4 linked regions of the Drosophila melanogaster genome follow. The protein of the gene in region 2 interacts with the protein of the main gene of each other region in a pairwise test. Each region holds a gene or a part of one and is shown on either strand. Other genes may lie near its edges. The genes, in order: CG15269, HLH54F, CG17195 and CG5721.

The links.
Region 1: the proteins of HLH54F (region 2) and CG15269 interact in a two-hybrid assay, tested with the Drosophila melanogaster proteins (one large-scale study listed by BioGRID).
Region 3: the proteins of HLH54F (region 2) and CG17195 interact in a two-hybrid assay, tested with the Drosophila melanogaster proteins (one large-scale study listed by BioGRID).
Region 4: the proteins of HLH54F (region 2) and CG5721 interact in a two-hybrid assay, tested with the Drosophila melanogaster proteins (one large-scale study listed by BioGRID).

The regions. Positions count from the first base shown.
Region 1 is NT_033779.5:15,107,567-15,113,601, forward strand, and holds CG15269 (uncharacterized protein), read left to right. Parts: upstream 1-1,838; 5' UTR 1,839-2,018; coding exon 2,019-2,960; intron 2,961-4,526; coding exon 4,527-5,348; 3' UTR 5,349-5,526; downstream 5,527-6,035.
Region 2 is NT_033778.4:17,755,751-17,761,046, reverse strand, and holds HLH54F (HLH54F), read right to left. Parts: upstream 3,643-5,296; 5' UTR 3,473-3,642; coding exon 3,397-3,472; intron 2,961-3,396; coding exon 2,611-2,960; intron 1,012-2,610; coding exon 709-1,011; 3' UTR 530-708; downstream 1-529. Other genes in the region: Sardh (sarcosine dehydrogenase), read left to right, coding at 4,669-5,296.
Region 3 is NT_033777.3:25,775,749-25,779,151, forward strand, and holds CG17195 (uncharacterized protein), read right to left. Parts: upstream 1,451-3,403; 5' UTR 1,434-1,450; coding exon 582-1,433; 3' UTR 528-581; downstream 1-527. Other genes in the region: CG17196 (uncharacterized protein), read right to left, coding at 1-458; CG4956 (uncharacterized protein), read right to left, coding at 1,573-2,481.
Region 4 is NT_033778.4:18,181,885-18,186,055, reverse strand, and holds CG5721 (uncharacterized protein), read left to right. Parts: upstream 1-1,965; 5' UTR 1,966-2,065; coding exon 2,066-2,182; intron 2,183-2,237; coding exon 2,238-3,515; 3' UTR 3,516-3,621; downstream 3,622-4,171. Other genes in the region: CG33958 (uncharacterized protein), read left to right, coding at 44-133, 291-414, 581-891, 1,115-1,270; nopo (no poles), read right to left, coding at 3,677-3,916, 3,979-4,171.

The sequences.
Region 1 (6,035 bases), on a different chromosome or scaffold from region 2:
CGGATGGAGATGGAGCTGGCAATGGAGGGACTTCGCATGGGGCAGCCACGTAGCTTTTGTAAAACAAACCATTAGCAGCTAATAAACATTAGTCATGCGACAAAACAAAGTCTCCTGGAGTCTGCTGCAGAGGCCCGATGATTTAGTGAGTGTAATTAAAACTTAAGTTTCCTTCGCTTCGCATATGTAAATTATCTGGCGGAATTCCACGAAATGCCAACCGAACTGAAAAAAAAAAACGAAATACGAAAAAGAGTTTTTCAACTAAGGTTGAACAAGTTTTGTGGTGTTCGCCCGGTCCTCATATGTATAATTATAATGAATAGCCTGTTTAATCAAAATTTATGCAGATCGTGGTCAACCAAAGCGAGCAGCGCGTGTTGACAGTCAAACCATTATTAATCACTGGCAAGAGGATCGGTAGTTGGCTAGCGCGGAGGATTTGAAGGGGCTTCTCCGCCAGGTAATCCTGATAAGATCGTTTTGTAAGTGATCGTGGACAAATCGTGTGCAAGATTGTGCCTTGCGCATTAGAGTCTCTCTATGCGGCAATTGGCAATTAGAAAACAGAGACTTTCAATCCTCCAATCCTTGTGAGTCAGAATATCAACTCCATTTCACCGGATCTCATTCCATGTAGCTGTAAATGTATACCACTTCATTTGTATCTGCAGCTTCCTTGAATTCGCGTGGTGTGTCACCATTTTACTTCACCTGTGTATGGATCCTCCGAATCCTCGGCCTGGATACCATGTTATTTATGCGCGTTTCATCCAATCACAAATCACTTGAGGAGCATTTTGTTTTGCACATTTTTATGGCCGCTACTGATGCTATGCAAGTCGAGGAAGTGGTCACAGTCCCTCTTGGATGGCAACTAAATGTAGTGGATCAAGCTTAAATGCTTCAGAAAGAGGTATTTGTAGGGCACCCTTAATTGGCATAGGCTATTTTTTAATAAATTTATGGAAAAATATTTGGGTTCAAATTGTTGTTTCTTAAAAATTCTTTACTTTACTTTAATGGCACAGCACGTCCTTAATTACTAAAATATTTCAAGAGGGTGTCATAATCATCCATATATGATTATTTAGACCTTTTGGGCTTACGTTAAGTTTTTTGGCCAGTGTGGTCAATCATGAACCGTTAACAACCCTTTTTAAATTCGCAAGAAAAATACCTGATTTCCTATACACCATTTTGACGATCGTTTGACGGTTATGTCATCTAGTCCCTAGCTTCAATTCCTTCCCACACTCACACATGGCTAAGACTGCAGAGCCGTGACGAACCAAGTCACCTCAAGAGATGATCGCTGCGCATGCGCATAACCGTAAGATTCACACATGCCTGGGAATCGGATTCGGAATCAGCGAGGATGTGAATGTGGACGGGGATGAGAATGTGTGTGTGTGGATGAGGAACAAGAGAAATACATTTTGAAAATTTAACGATGCGCACATTTTATTACCGCAATTAATTACAAAAACAACGCGGCCAAAACGAAATCTTAGTCACTTTATCAGAGAGGTCCAGTGGATAAAAAAAATGAAAGAGAGTAGTGCACGGAGAGCGATCTGAAAGGAGCGATAAGGTTTATGATAGATGTGACTAGTAGAACGCTACTAGCAAATGGTTCTGGGTCTGCAGATTGCAGCTCCTCTCGTAATTGGAGGCGCGACAGTTTGTCTCCAGCAGTCAAACCTGGTTAATTGGAGAAGAGACTCCCGGTCTATGAGAGAGAGAGATACGGAGCGAGACCGACCTGTACGGTCAAACCTGTTTCTCGACCAATTAAATTCGAGAGCGGGAGCGTAAGCCAGGCTTTAGGCCCGGCCAAAAGACGATGACGGCTGCTGTGGGCTGTGAGGCCAAGACATTTCGTGTTTCGACGCGTAACGCGACAGTTCCCCGGGCTAAAAAGCGCCTACGCCTCAGAAAATAGTCATCCGAAACGGTAACGCCTGCGGTCTATGAGTGATTCTTCGGTGTGGAGAAGAATGGGTTTCAAGCACGCCATGCTGCAGCGCAGTTACGACCTTTCGCCCTCGCCGGCGCGTACTTCACCCACCAATGGAGTCCAGAACTTGGGAGCTGGGGCACAGTTGCCACCGGCTCAAGTCACTGACTTTAGCATCAGTAAGATTCTGGGCAAGGAGCGTAAATCCGCTCAGGATACGAGCACGAATATCCTGGATCTATCCAAGAGCAGTAGCAACAGTATTAGGAGCCCACAGGCTCTTGGAGGGCTGGCAATACCATCAACTCCTTATGCCTCCGGTGCCTACTCCATGTTGCCGCCAGATTTGGTGGCCATGGCCAATGCCACCAAGTTCTATGCCCAATTCTTCCCGCACTTACTGCCCGCCTATGCGGCTGCTGCAGCGGCTGCCGGCTTGAGTACTCCTCCTACGTCGCCCTATCAAACACATCAGCATCAGCAGCATTTGCCAAATCAGCAGAAACGCTTCTTTGCTCCCTATGTGATCAATGGATCGGTTCCCCCACCACCACCACTGCAGCAGCAACAGCAACCTCTCATACGCACCAAAAGCACCGCATGCACTCGTCCGGATTGCCCGGAGTGCCTGGATTATTACCAAAGATTGCAGACTGGTGGCTATAAGCAGACCGCACCTCTCATCTCACCCGCCGCCTCCTCGGTGAGCAGTTCCACCGGATCAATACGTCCTGTGAGGGATCTGATTATGAGTGCCACTGGAGGAGCCGCCAGCACTAACATCTCACTGACCACCGTGACCAATCTGAGTCTGAACTCGGTCCAGGCAACGGCCGTCGGAATGATGCCCAAGATGACCGGTGGACTGATCACCACAGCCGTCGGCAGCAACAGTGGAGCAATCGGTGGTATCGGTGGATACAATGCCACATCCGCCGAGGAGATCAGCTACAAGTGCCGGATTTGCGAGAAGGTATTCGGATGCTCTGAAACTCTGCAGGTGAGATTTTATTATTGTTATTAAATTATTATTACGATGGTGTTCTGTTTACAAGTATATATCATTTATGACAACCAAAGCGTTTAGTTATCAGTTATTAGCTTTAGAAAAGATAATTCATCCTAAATATATTCCAAACTCTAACCCAAGGATTCAATTTATTCTTAAAATCCCTCAAAAACGAGTAAACACAAAACACCCACGAAACAAATTTTTATATTTATAGTGTAGACAGAATTTTAATTTTTTTTATTTCATTAGACCTTCAACTTTTAAAAAATGAAATACAAATATTCAAAAAATATATGCAATTCCCAATTAGAATTTAAGAATGAAATGATTTAGATTTGCCAGATTATATTTTATTTCAGTTTGCTGCTGTTTAGTTATAAAAAAAGCGAAACGAAATGAACGATTGTATGAAATTTTCTTATAAATTAAATAGCACAATCAAACTTATACGTAAAGTCACTTAAAGAGTTTGTACTTACACACAAGCATTTGGCAAATGCACGCGTATTTTTTTTTTTAATTATAAGTAACAAAAAAATTAATGATTTAGATCTCATCAACGGTTACGTATACATTTATCACAAAGAAATATGTGTTTATGCGGAGTACTAAATGATTGAGAATTATTATTGCAAAGCCATTAAATAACTTTAGGAATTTAACTCCTTTCAAAACATCTAAGCCAAGAACAGCATTAACCTTTCACATGGCCATACATCACATAAGATATCGTTTGGCCGGTCCTCAAAGTCCACATCCACACGAGATCCTCCCAAAACGGGTTTCTTCACCAACAGAGATACCATATGGATTTGGGCGGGGCCTAAAAAACAGAGAAACAGTAGTCTAATTGGAAGGCGGAGCTCCGAAGAAAAGAGTGGAGATTCAAGTGGAGTGGGGAAGAGAGAGGCAGCGAAGAATTGAGTGCCTTATGCAAATCTCGCAAGCAATCCGAGTTCAAAATGGAGTCGGCCGAAAACAGAAACAGAAGCGGGCAAAAAAGAGAGAACTGGTTTTACGCATGGGTGCAGCTACAAGATACGTTAGAAAGGGCCAGACGCCGAGCGAGAGGTAATCACAAAATGGCCACTTTGGGAAAGAACACCAATTTCAGTAGCTAACTGAAGCAAGCCACATTTGAAGTTGCAACAAAATTATTACAAACAATGGGGAACATTCGAATGTGTAACCATGGTATTTTTTGCATTTCTGGCTTATTTTGTATAAGTATAAATGTGTCCAAAGCTCAGTTTTCAGTAACTTTATATTCGAAATCTTCCAATCCTCACTAGAACTTATAGAATAAGGTATTAATATTAGGACCTAATTAAAATGTTGCTAAACATACTCATCTTGAAAGCCTCCCTTCCAAAAACTAACTAACTAACGAACAGTTTGTAGAAAATCGCTGTTTTATGAATTTCACAACAGATTTTCACTACCTCAGGTTTTTTATTAAAATTTTAAATCTCTTACTATTGCTACAATATTACTATTGCTAAGCTAATGTATCTTATTTATTTATCTTATTTGTCTATTATGTTCTTATTTCAGGCTCATGAAAAGACGCACAAATCGCCGCGTTACGAGTGTGCGGATTGTGGAAAGGGTTTCTCCCAGCTGCGAAATTACAAATATCACCTGTCCGTTCACCGAGGAACCAAGGAGTTTGCCGCCGAGTGTCCCGAATGTGGCAAGACATTCAACGATAAGGGATATTTGAGCAGTCACCTAAAGATTCACCGGAACCGGAAGGAGTACGAGTGTCCTTACTGTCCCAAATCGTTCAATCAGCGTGTGGCCTTCAATATGCATGTCCGGATTCATACCGGCGTGAAACCCCACAAATGCAACGAGTGCGGAAAGAGATTTTCGCGTAAAATGCTGCTCAAACAGCACATGAGGACGCACAGTGGTGAGAAACCGTATCAGTGCTCCGTGTGCGGCAAGTCCTTTGCCGATCGCAGCAACATGACCCTGCACCATCGCCTCCACTCGGGAATCAAGCCCTTCAGCTGCCCCCTGTGCCCCAAAGCCTTCACCAAAAAGCATCACCTAAAGACGCATCTGAATTACCATACAGGCTGCAAGCCGTATGTCTGCCCACATCCCAACTGCAATCAGGCATTCACCCAGTCGAGCAATATGCGAACCCACGCTAAGAAGTGTCAGTACCGTCCGTTGGATGGACTCACGGTCACATCATCCGCACTTCCAGTACCGGGAAAACAACAAACAGGTCCACCGCCCACTTTGGCCATGGCCATGGCTCAAACATTTCAAATGCCGCCACCTCCTGGAGTTCTAACACCTGGATCTGGTCCATCCCAACCGCCGAGTCAGCAAACCCTTCTCAGCAATCTCAGGACATTCTAAATGGGTGGAATCGTTGTGCCCGGCCAGTTTCAACCAAATTTGTGGCAATTACAAAGTGCAGTACTTCCACTGTTGTTATTCAATTTACATTTATTTTCAAGCAATAATTTTGCTAGAAATTAAATTAGGAATAGACATTAATTATTATTAAAATAGGCATATATATTGGCCAGTCAATAAAGTATAATATCAAATACAAAAGGATTCCAGGATTCTAGAAATAATATTTTGGATTGGAGATATGATTGGGAGTCCAACTAGGTAATTTCGCTTATAATCAGATAACGCAGCCTTATTTAATTCAAATCTTCTAGTGACAAAAATTAAAAGATGTATGTTTTTTTAGTAAACAAATGAACGAACCGTTGCAGTACATTTAACATATTTAAAAGTGCGCTCTCACTCAGCCAGATGGCGCCACCTGATAGTTTATTACCACTGTAGGTGTGTTGAGTAACTAAACGAAATCTTGCTGTTAAATTGTATTCACAGCTGTCCTAAAACCGAGTTGGCAGCCCTTTTCCCCTCAAAAATCGAAAGTCTGTTAATATATCGATAAGTCAAGGCAATTGTCAGTGGTACCGTTTCGTCTGGTATGACCGTGTTGTGAAATTTTGTTAGAAATTTACAATATAAGCGAGCATAAAAAACGCAGGAAAAGCGCAAAAAAATCAGTAAAACGTGCCT
Region 2 (5,296 bases):
ATCTAATCATCGATGCCAGCTCTCGAACGACGTGAACTTTAACCGCGAAAATACACATGTAATAAGTTCGCTTTTGTGTTGAAATAGTCTGTAGCACAACCATTATTCTCACGCCATTGTTGTTGGGCTACATTTATGAGTAAATACACAAAATAAATACACTGCATGTAAAAAGTACTTGGGCGTTTTCTTTCAGTTTGTTTCTAATTTAAATAAGATTGCTTTCATAAGCTTCTTTGTTCGTATAATTTGTTTGCAAGTGAATAATGCAAATTCACTACATCTTTCTGCATAAATAACATCTTTAAAATGTCTCAAATTAGCCGTTTTAAAAAAAGTAGGGTATTTGAATTCCGCCTTAATTAATAGATTAATTTTGTTTTTAGCAGCTCTTTGTTTGTATTGTGACGAAATCAGCTGTTGAACAGGGCTGCAAAATACAAACAAGTACGGCAGCACTCGACAACTCCAGGGATACAGTCACCATAATCTTGGCGCCAATTCAAAAAAATTCAAAAATTCCAATTTTATTAAAAACATAGATATATTTGCTAGCTAAATGATCATGAGGTAACACCAATCTTTGGCCTTATAGCATAGGTTCAGGCTTGCACATACGGAAACACGTAAAATTAAATCACGATTTAATACACTTACTAGGTGGTAAATTCATTTGGCTTAGGTCAGAACATTATTTATAATATCCGCTTAAATGCCATGGGCATGGCTAGTGGCTATAGCTATGCCCCGCTGATGCTGCCCCATTCCAGAGTCATAGGAACAGCTGGCCGCTGGCTCCATTTGATGCACTTCCGCCGGATACCAGTGACTGTGAGATTCCGGCAACTGATGGTAACTTAGATCCGCCGAAACATGGGTTTCGCCTCGCGTAGTCTTCGGATAAGATTGCGTATGCAGGGTTTGCCAATCCATACGGGCGGATGAGGTGGTTGATGATGATGGGGCAAATGCCAAACTCCGGCTACTCTGGTGGAACTCAAAGGGCCAGCTCTGCAAGACAGTATAATGTGGAATGTGTGGATAAAACAGGCATAAATCATAGGAGTTGTGGAAACCGCAGGGGCTATATATGGAACAATATGACGACAACCCATCCCGAGACAGCGCCATTGTTTGTTTACGCAACTTTGATTGTTTTTAGTGCCCACCCCCGCCTCCACGTCTAGATCTACAATAACAGCCTCATTAACGGATCTATAAAAACATAAACAGCCAAACACTTGCGGACAAGAGACACTCATTTGTATGCCATACAATGAGGGATTGGAAATGGGATATAGGGATGCTAGGGCTAGCGAGCAAATAGCGAACCAATGGGTTGTTCCCAACAGATCATCTTGGGCGCGTGGATGGTATAAATTCGGATAGGGTCGGGACTCTCCGATCCGATCTGATTTGCCACCATATGGGCACAAGACGGAGCCGTATTTGCTGAATTTTTCACGCATTCGGTGTGTAAACAATTGCATCTATTTAGATAAGTTGTGCACGCCATGAATCTTGAGTGATAGATTGTGTAAACTCCAGCGGGAATGGCTGATGGATAAACACGGTTAGACAAATTTTAATTACAATAATCCGAGTGGGAAAACTACTGAGGATGACACTTTCCCTCGCATGTCATTCACTGTGTCGCTTCAAAGCATCAAGAGCATCTTTAAAAATAAAAAATAAAAGCAAAGACTAACTAGTGCCCCCCATCCAGATCCGCAGGTCTGCGTTACCATCTCCGTTCCCTGCCCGCTCCACCAACAGCCTGTCACTCATATTTAATATTTTCGAAATTCACAAAAGTATCGGATTACAGGAAAGCAAGGCAGTCTGAAATCACAAAATGTGATTTCGGTGTTCTAGTGGGGGGCCCGGCTGAATGGCTGACTCCGGTCATGGGATGTGGATGTGGTTACGTTTGTGGTTCACCTCCACATCTAGAAAAGGTGGAAATACTTGTCGCCGCATCGCGTCCGCATCACCAAGCAGATGTTGCACCACATTCCTTTGGATTTTTGATCTATATTTCGCTAAAATTGCGTTGAATTACCCCTATAAGTTGAGTAGTATTACTAAATACTTAAGTTGCTTGTTAAAAAAAAAATGAGAATAATAGATTGCGTATACGTTTAAATTGTAATAGTATCAATTTTTTAAATTTTAAACACTGAAGCCTGGGTTTCCGTGTAACTTTCCACGATCTCTAAGTTAAAATTCTACGAAAGGCTAATTTCAACTAGCAAAATTTACAAATATCTACCTACTTTATTTCCTTAATGGCTTTTCAAAGAAAACGCATAAAAGAAAAATTTTCATTCCCAATACCAAACTTTCCATAAAAAGACATAAACTTATGGGAATCCCGATCGGCTGAACATTACTTCTCAATTAGACTGAAATCCATGAATAAACATTGATCTTGGGCATATCACTGGGCATCCCCTGCGACACCTGTCATTAACTGACGAGATCCACCTGAAGTGGCCGGCTCATTAATGCGTTCCCGTTCCCCCGAGCCGCGGGTGCAGTGCATCGTTAAGTGGTGGCAGTGACATCACTTATATTCGGGCAGGGGGATCGCAATTGCATGACACTTACCATGCCGTGTCCGTTGTTGTGGAAATTATAATTGCCTCCACCGGACGAATCTGCCATGTGACTTGTGTCCAGGCCTTCGGAACTGGTGGTACTCGAGTGACTGTGGTTGAGGCTGTGGTGCTGGTTGTGGTTGTGCGGGTGGTTCTGCGAGTGGCTGCCTGTCTCCACAGCCGTAATTAGCTGCTTGATGTAGAGCGTGGCCAAACGCAACGTGTCCAACTTGGAGAGCTTCGTGTCCGGCGGAATGTTGGGCAGCTTGGTCTTCAAACGTCCGTAGGCGCTGGATAAAACCCGCATACGCATCCGCTCCCGGGCATTTGCCGCATTTCGCTGCACCGGCGGTTGGGAGCCTGGAAAATCAGAAATGTAGATACATCTTAAGGAGCTCCAATAACAAGAGATTAATTAGAAACAAAAGGTTTTATTGGTATCCACAAAAGTTTTAAGTTACATTATAGATATCTTCGCAAAGTATGAAGTTCAAAAAGCATATGGAGTATGAATTTTAAACTCAATTTATATCTATTGTGCTTTCTGTTATTATAATTTTTATCATTATTATTATATTTTCATTTAGAGCTTAACGCATTTTAAATTAACATTCCTTTTAAGGTAAATTCTAAAGTTCGATTTAAAAAATTCTAAGGAAATTGAATTTTACTTTAAAGTAAATAATAAATTTACAAAACTAGCTAAACATATTTACATTGTCAACGTTTTTAAGCGTTTATAATACATCTTTTTAATATAAGTACAAAATCACCTATAAATTGAAATCGAACTCACTTTGAGAACTGGCATCCTCATCGAAGTCGTCATCAAAGAACTCCGTGGGGCTGGAACTGCGCTTCTTGCGTGGCATTGTTCAAAAACAAGTTGGTGGTATCACAAGAATCACTTCGAATATTTTCAAATTGGATATAAAATTCCAATCACTCAGTTTTCTCACTTAAAATCGAAACGCACCGAACCGAAACCAATCTGTGAGTCGAATACGTCCGATCTGCGTGGCACGTAGAGCACTTCTGTCACGGGTTACGGGGAGATCCTCCTTTTTGAGCATTCTGCTCCGCAGTTTGCAGCTCTCCAGATTCCGTCTATTTCTGGCACCTCTGGTGGGCGTGCCTGCTCCGCAAACAGTCCCAATTGGCGGAGGAATCCGGACACATGGTGCGATCGGCGGTCTCTTTCTCGGTTGTTTGCCTTCTGGCTGCCACCACATTGGCCACACAGTGTTCCTCCGTCGGTCTGCGGGAAAATTCAAAATGAAACGCTCGGTTTATCCGGTTCACTACGGGCGTTGGAGTGGGGATGTTGTGCCGTAAGGATGTGCGACGGGCGAGTGCGAAGCGTGCCAAGACTCCGGCTCCAGATGGCACCACCTGGTATTCGATCTCGCAGTGCATTTGGAGATAGGCATTAATGGCAGATCGGAAGAGATTATAATCCTGGGGTTCAACTGCGTATCCTGTTTGGGGTCGCCGCGATGGTTGGCATTTGAGTATGGGTCCAAAATTTCATTGCTTATGTGGGGAGTTTTAAGTTCCGAGAACGATTTTGACTTTTCAAATTTTCTGCGGGAAATGAAAATACTCGAAAATATATGTACATATATGTAGGCAACACTTTGTTTAATCTATAGAATTTACGTTTTCTTTAAGTGCTTTTAAAAGAAAAGCAAGAGTTTAATAAATCTATTTATATGAATGGATTAATTGAAACCACAACATATTAGCAAGAAGCATCTGTTAAACCGCATCTTTATTGAAACTAAAAATTTGCTCAGATTAAATTGTTTTTTGACCTACGTAGCTGCTAACTAATTTTACTACTTGCCACGCCTCCGAACCCAGATAAGAAACGTGCTGTGACCCTAAAACGTGGCCTTGATTAGGGCCTCCAGTCATGGATGGAACGTCACTGGCACAGCAGGTTTATCAGGATGCTGAACCATGGGTTATCCGATCAATTCAGCGGGAGATTATTATGGCGGTATTGTGTTTTTAACTCGAGAATTCAGTTGAGATTCTAAAGTCGTCGCGCTCGGCCGTTTTTGAGATGTGGCGCCATCGCATCCTGCAGCAAGCTTCGCGCCGTGGAATCAGCAAACAAGTGAGGGAAGATGGAGGAGCTCGAAGGGAACCAAGTGGATTCCTGCCAGGCGCAGCAGATGTTGTGGTTATTGGCGGTGGTTCGGCGGGCTGTCACACACTGTATCACCTGGCACGACGTGGTGTCAAGGCCGTGCTCCTGGAACGCGCCCAACTTACGGCCGGAACCACCTGGCACACGGCTGGATTGCTGTGGCGCCTGCGTCCCAACGATGTGGATATTCAGCTGCTGGCTAATTCACGTCGCATGCTGCAGCAATTGGAGGAGGAAACGGAGCTGGATCCGGGATGGATTCAAAATGGTGGCATCTTCATTGCTCACAATGAAACGCGACTGGACGAGTATCGCAGACTGGCCACTGTGGGCTCAGCTTTGGGTATTGAAAACCAAGTGCTGAGTCCGGAGGACACCCAAAAGTTATTTCCCCTCCTCGATCCGTCGGCATTTGTGGGCGCTCTCTATTCTCCGGGTGATGGTGTCATGGATCCGGCGATGCTGTGTGCGGCCCTCAAAAAGGCAGCCACTAATCTCGGAGCACAGGTAATCGAGAATTGCGGAGTGGATGATCTACTGC
Region 3 (3,403 bases), on a different chromosome or scaffold from region 2:
AATGTAAGCCAGAAGAAATATCGGTGATTATTGTGTCCGATGCAAGTGGCTGCGAAGATGCAGTGGTGGTCTCGCTTCAAAATGCAGCATTTACACAGTGCACAGTGCCAGGATCGTGGAGGCATCAGTTTCTGACAGATATCGCAATAATGCCACAGGTGCTCCGTTCCCGGTTTCGGAATTTGCCGCTCCTGAGGCAGACTTTTCACTGCTGAGCTTGTACGGTAGCAGGCCAGCAAGTTTCCCAGGATATTGTATGTTGTAAAAATCGCTGATATCACAAAGAACTTATACATAAAACCATCATGCACATCGGGGGCCACATAAAAGACCTGCAGCGTGAAGAAAAAAACCGTGCTCACCAGTAAAAAAATCACTGACAAAGGATGTCCTATGCTCACGGCCTTCTTAGGATAGAGATTGGCATATTCGCGGCACCAATCATTTACGATACACATGATTGTAGGATTTTGAATACAACACCGTATTTTCCACAACTTGACATTAGATGAAAATAAGTTATGATTGGCTTGTTAAAATCGATATATATTTTTCAATAATTTAGTAATACGTCTATTAATTTAGTGAGACTGCTTCATCTGCCAATGTGCACCGTCATGGGGCAAAGGACTCTTCAGCAAGGGCGATATAAAAGTCCAAAGTCCTCGTTGGCCCATTATTGTCTGGCAGTTCTTTCGGAAACCCAGATCGTAGGTGCAATCAAAAATATTATAGTAGGTAGAGTTTTGGCTTAAAATCTGCATTTGATATGCCAACATAAAGGCAGGCATATAGCTGGCGCTTATATTCAAGAGGAAGGCAATGGTCTCAAAAGTATTGCCAGTATAATTTTGGAAAAAAGTCCTAGTTATTAAATTAAAAATCACAGACGAGAGACTCATGAAGTTACCGCCATTCTGCAGGATAAACATACAAAATGTTGCAAAGCTTGTGACTAAGCCGAGCGTTAAATAAAATGTGAACCAGAAGAAAAAGCGTTGATTATTGTGTCCAATGCAAGTGCCCGTGAATATACAGTGGTGGTCCCGTCTCAAAATGCAGGTGTTGCACAAAACGCAGTGCCAGGATCGTGGCGATCTCAGCTTTTTACACGATTCGCAATAGTGCCACAGGGGCTCATCCTCTGGATTCGGGCATCGGGAGTCCTTGGACAAGGTGTTTACCGATGAGCTAGTCATATAGCAGGCCAGCATGTTACCAAGTATGTTGTGCGTTATGAAGGTGACCAATATCCAGTAGAGCTTGTAAGCAATGTCGCCAAACACTTTGGGCGCAATGTAAAACATCTGCAGTGAGAAGAAGAAAGCTGTGCTGCACAGGACGAAAACTATCGAAAGTGGATGCACTATCCTCACAAAGTTCTTCGGGTAGCGATTGGCAAAGTAATGGCAAAATCTATTCACGTAGCACATTTTTTAGGATTTTGAAAACTTCTGTTGTAAATTATAGACTAAATAGAAACATTTACATCACAGAAGAAGAAACGCCAACCCGACATATTATAATAGAATTTATTCGCTATCTTATATTCAAAGTTTTTACAAACAAAATTTACACTGTCTGCTTCTGGAACCACTGAGTGCCATCGGTAGGAAGAGGACTTGAGATCGTTGGAGAGAAAAAAATCCAGAAGCGCCGTTTTCCCAAGACCATATCAAAATTTCTTCTCCAACCAACATCATAGCTGCGATCGAGCATCTTATAGCATGTACTATTCCGATATACCATTATCATTTGAAAGACGAACATGAAGAGGGGGACGCCAAAAAGAAATAAATTCAGTTTGAAAAGGTTGGCGATTGTGTACTTCCATTTGAAATCAGCATCTTGGGTTGTATCCTGGAACATTAGCAACAAAGGATCGACGACCAAAAAGGCCTTGTTTGTCCAATTCAAAATGCCATTGTAGACGAGCGCCTGTCCGCTGCCAAAGCTCAGGTGAAACAAGAAGGCAAGGAAATACCTCTGATTTTTATGGCCAATGCAACTGGCAAAGAAGGTGCAGTGGTGATCCCGCTTCAGAATGCAAATGTTGCACAAACTACAGTGCCAGGACCTCGGTGGCACCAGCTTTTGGCATGTGGAGCAGTAGTGCCACAGGTGAGCCTCACCTGCCACAGGATACTGTCTTTCCAGAACTAAGCTATCGACTGAGGTATTGGTCATACAGCCGAGCCACCAGTTGCCCAATATATTGATGACTGTATAAATTCCCATAAACCAACACAATTTGTGCCATATACCATGGGGATCAGTTATTTGCGGCAAAACGTAGCATAATTCATAGACAAACAGCAATCCAATCAGACAGAGTAAAAATATTGCACAAAACGGATGAAGTAGGCCCATAACTTTTATGCGATGTAGTTGAAAGTGACGATGAAACCCTTCCTCGGCTCGAAAACACATTCTTCTACTCCAACCGCAAGTAGATCTTAATAAAACTCGAAATCGAAGCATTTATAAATGACAGACGTATTGTTAAATTTATCAAATAAATTATTTTTAATAGACTTTGGGCACCAGAACTGCCTTGATTTGGAAATATGTATCTAACTGACATAATCGCATCACCCACTGAATTGTAAAAATCTGGCATTGTATGTATGTGTACTTTGGTGGGTGGTTTCAAATTCAATTTCTTTTCCTTTTTAAGCGGATTATTGCGAAATTACGTTTTATAATTGCTGGCGTCATTTGTGAAGGCAGAAAATTTTTATTTAAGTGGCGCTTCTAAGTGAATTCTACAATTCAAAAGATTTGGCTTATGGAATGTTTTCACCTAAAAGTTTCTCAAATTTTTACTTCATTTTCAAAGCAGTATAGGCAAAACCTTGCTTATAAAGCAAGCTTATAAGCAGAAAATAAATTGAAATAAAAAAAACAATGGAGGGAAAAAGGGCATCAGCATGGCAAAATATGGTATTTTGCAGCAGCTGTATGTTGTATAAACAAAGAGCAGAATAAAAACAACGAGGAATGCATATCAAATACATGTAGGAAACAGCTGGGTTAAGTCGACTTCATCAGCCCAGCGACCGCAAAATGGCAGCTGTCGGCCAGGTTTAGACCGCAGGAACGAATGTTGTCTATTTCGCATAAATTTTTATGAATTATTAATATGAACTAAGCATTTTGAATGTGGCCTGGTCGGGTGGGAAAGCTGGTGAGGACGCGGTTTTTCATTTTAAGTTCACTGAGGTGTATGGCACACCTATTGAGGTGGTTTTTCTTTTTGCCGTAAAGTAGAGTGGCAGTTTGCTTTTCGTTTGCATAAAATATGTACGATGGGGCGGGGCGGGACTTTCCTCACTTCGTGGCTAAATGTGTTTGCCGTCTTTGGCCTAGACCGGAAGCAAACAAACAGCCATTTTGTGCTGCT
Region 4 (4,171 bases), 430 kb from region 2:
GCTGTGGGTGAGAATTAACCAGGTCTAATTGACTTCCTGACAGGTGCCCGCCGAGCTCTACGAGGCAGTCACCATTTACTTTAGCGACATCGTGGGTTTCACCGAAATAGCTGCGGATTGCACTCCACTGGAGGTAAAGTACCACTATCACTTTATTCATCATATCATTTTGCTAATCAACTTTGGTTTAAGCATATCTTGTAACTAACATTCAACTTTAGTTGTATTTAGGTATAATTTGTATTCCTTTGACATTTATCTCTAATGAGAGATACATCTCACACTTTCAGGTGGTGACCTTCTTGAATTCAATTTACCGGGTGTTCGACGAGCGTATCGAGTGCTACGATGTCTATAAGGTTGAGACGATTGGGGACTCATATATGGTGGCATCGGGTCTGCCGGTGAAGAACGGTAATTTATGCAAATTCAGCTGTCAGTCATTCAGTCATTTAAACCCCGCCCGCCGGCAACATCCCACTGCTTGACTGCCCCAAAAAGATTTGCGCTAATTTAAATTTCATTTGTGGCCATGCGCGTAATTTATGCCATGGAACTTTCCGACCCGCTGCCTCTGCAGGGAACAAGCACATCAGCGAGATAGCAACAATGGCCCTTGATTTGCTGGACGCCTCGTCGGTGTTCCGGATTCCCCGGGCAGGAGACGAATTTGTTCAAATACGATGCGGTGTGCACACGGGTCCGGTTGTCGCCGGTATCGTTGGCACCAAAATGCCGCGCTACTGCCTCTTCGGCGACACGGTGAACACGGCCTCGCGGATGGAGAGCACCGGCGAGGCGCAGAAGATACATATCACCGAGGAGATGCACGACTCGCTGCAACAGGTGGGCGGATTCCGTACCGAACACCGCGGCCTCATCGATGTCAAGGTATTTGCAATCGATCAAAATCATTCTTACGAACCTTGAGGATTCTACTTAAGATGTTTACACTGCGTATGAGTAATGTTTGTAAATTACCGTTAGCCCTTAGTATAATTCAGTTCCTTTTAACTCCCATTAGTTCGCTATAGCTTTTTGTGTACCGTGTTTTTTCCATACTTTTAAAACAACTTTTTTTGTTGGGTGAACCTGCAAACTGTTTCATTTTCAGGGTAAGGGTCTAATGAGCACCTACTGGCTGACCTGCAAGGACGGACCGGTTAGGGCTCGCGAGGAGATCTCGTGGCGGGCGGACATACAGCCCGTGTTTCTTGACCACCTGAAGCTGCATCCGCCAACCGACTACAAGCTGCCAAAGCGGAAATGAGATGCAACCAACTGCAAGTTTTCCGGCTAGGCCAAATAATGCTTATCCTGGCCATAAATTCGAGGTGCTTTTCTTTTGGATGTGCATGCATTAGTGTCCCGCTCTCTCAATCTCTCTATTTAAATATCTAAGTATCTTTCCTTTCTATCAAAAAGTTGAAGTTACACGGTGCACCAAGTGTAGATAAAATATACAACATAAAATTCGTCTTAATTTTAAATTCGCTTCAAAATATAATAATTAAATCACTTCCTTGAAAAAAAGTGGAAGTGCAACTGATGCATCGTGTACAACAACTTTAAACGCTTCAATGGCCAATCGTCTTTTTACATGTAATACACAGTGCAAATCACAAGCATGCGGCCAAAATACAGACTTATGTTAATAAAAAATATGCGAGAAATACATTGTTACCATTCGTTTTCCAACCACAGTGATGGGACATATATAAAGAAACCTAAAATCTTTTCTTTCACTTCTTTAGTTATAAAATAAGGTTATAATTTATTTTTTATCAAATTCGGTGTTAGTATTAATACAACAATTTTTTTGAGTGTTCAATGGTGAGTTTTATTAAACCGTACAACGATATGTATCGAATGTAAATCAGCTGGAAGTATGACCGCCCTGCGAAGTGCGATAGTGTGACCGCAGCCACTAAATTCGAACTGTGCCTGTGTGCCTGCGTGTGGGCGTGTGTGTGTGTGTGGGAAGTTACAGAGAGAACAAAGTAAAATTTGAAAAGTTAAAGCTGCAGCTGCTGAGGGCATAGCCAAAATTGGACGAATCACTGCCATGGCCAAGGTTATATCGCAGGACACCTTCGACGATGTTGTGAAGGAGAACGTTGTGGAGTTCTCGATGACTCCTTCGGAGGCGAAAGAAGAGACCATCAAGCAATTCGAGGCACAGGTAAGTAATGTCGACATAGTCATCCAGTAGATTCACTTTAATGAAATGATTGCAGGGCATCAACCTGGCCAACATTATCAAGGACCTGTCCGTCAATCCGCAAACCGGCCAACCTGTCATCAACGAAACGGTGGACAAGATCAAGGAGCACATTGGCCAAAAACTGGAGGAAACAACGGAGCTGCTGGAACAGCTGGCCACCTTGGATGCTGAGTGCAAAAAGTCGCTAGCCCATAGGGTTCTAGCCGGCAAAAATGGAGCCCACGATGCCCTGATCACCCTGTTGGAGGAGACGCTCTCTGCTGAGTCACCCAACGAATCCGTGTTAAAAAAGTCCTTGGAAGCCATCAACAGCCTGACCCACAAGCAGCCGGATCTGTTTGATGCCGAGGCGATGGCCGTGGTTCTCAAGTTACTGGCCCTCAAAGTGGAGAGTGAAGAAGTCACCCTGTTGACTCTTCAATGGCTGCAGAAGGCCTGCATCATGCATGAAATGAACCGCCAGAATATCATGAATACCTCCGCACTCAAACTCATGAAGCCCCTTTTAGGGAAAGGGAAGGACCGCCTGGTGCGTGAACTGACCGCCGTCTTCCGCTTCCTAGTGCTGGATGATGACATTCGCGTTGAGTTTGGATGCGCCCACGAGCACGCCCGCCAAATAGCAGGCGAGGTGCTCATCACCTTGGTGGAACTTTTGCCGGCCTATCAGGATCCTAATGTTCTGGCTGATCTTCTGCTGACCATTGGAACACTGGCTGTGCGTCAGGAACTCTGTACAGCTATCGACGAGGCTGGTGGACTGAAGTCCGTCTTCGAGATCATGAGTTCGAATTTGGATGAGGTGCGTCTAAATAGAGAGGCCTTAAAGTTGCTACGTGCCCTGGCTGGCCAAGACTCCGTGAAGTCACATATAGTACAGCAGGGCGTGGCTCCTATAATAAAGCAATTGCTAGAGACGCACCAGTCCAATGAAAACATCGTTGCCGCCGCTTTGGCCTGCGTGACTACTCTGACACTCCGAGTGCAGGAACACAGTGCCGCCTTTTTCGATACCGGCATCGCCGAAGTAATCGTGGAGGCTCTTCGCGCCCATCCCAAACACAAGATAGTCCAGCGAAACGGAGCGTGGGCCATCCGCAATATGGTGTCACGGTCGCGGAACCAGTGTGAAACCTGGATCTCCTTCGGCGTTGAGGATCTACTAAATATGGCAATGAAGGAGCACCCCAGTGTGGAGCAGGACATCAAGGCGGCGTTGCGCGACCTCGGCTGTAGTGTCCACTTGCGCGAGGAATGGACGGGCACGGCGGAGAAAAAAATTGCCGCCTAATCGCACACACATATGCCTTTTGTATTTTTATATATTTACTGCTAAATTATTACTATTGCTTAATTCATGCATTGGCTAACTAACAAAATCGGCAATCCTCAATACCAATCGCGTGCTAATACCCAACTGGGGCAGTCTCTTATGATCACATGGCTGTGGACTTATTTGCCCAGGTTAAAGTTGCGCAGCGAGCCGGCTTTAAGACGCTGGTTGACATTCCGGGAAAGGGCGGTCGAGGATCTGATTGTGGAAAGACCCTCTTCCTCGGCGCGCTGCGCAAAGGGGTCAACCTTCTCAGAACCGCCCATTCCATTGTAGACAAAATTTGAGCCCGTCGTGGCCGTCAACGCAGAACTACTTGAACTTCCCAGCAGCAGTCTTGGCTTCTTGAAGATTGAATACTGGGGGAATATACGGAATTTTTAAATGGTTAAGTGGAATTCGGCAAAATTATTGCGTTTACCTTTTCACTGAGATCACTGCTGGTTTTCCGTATGGTTCCGCTGGTCATAGACACACCGCCACCGACTCCCTTGATGGGCGATATTTTAGACTTGGCCAGCCCAATGTTACCCTTAGTATTAAGAAGATGCGCCAACCCGACGCTGCTGGATTTAATGTTGAGATATGGGGAGGTGGATTCTTCGATGCGCTTA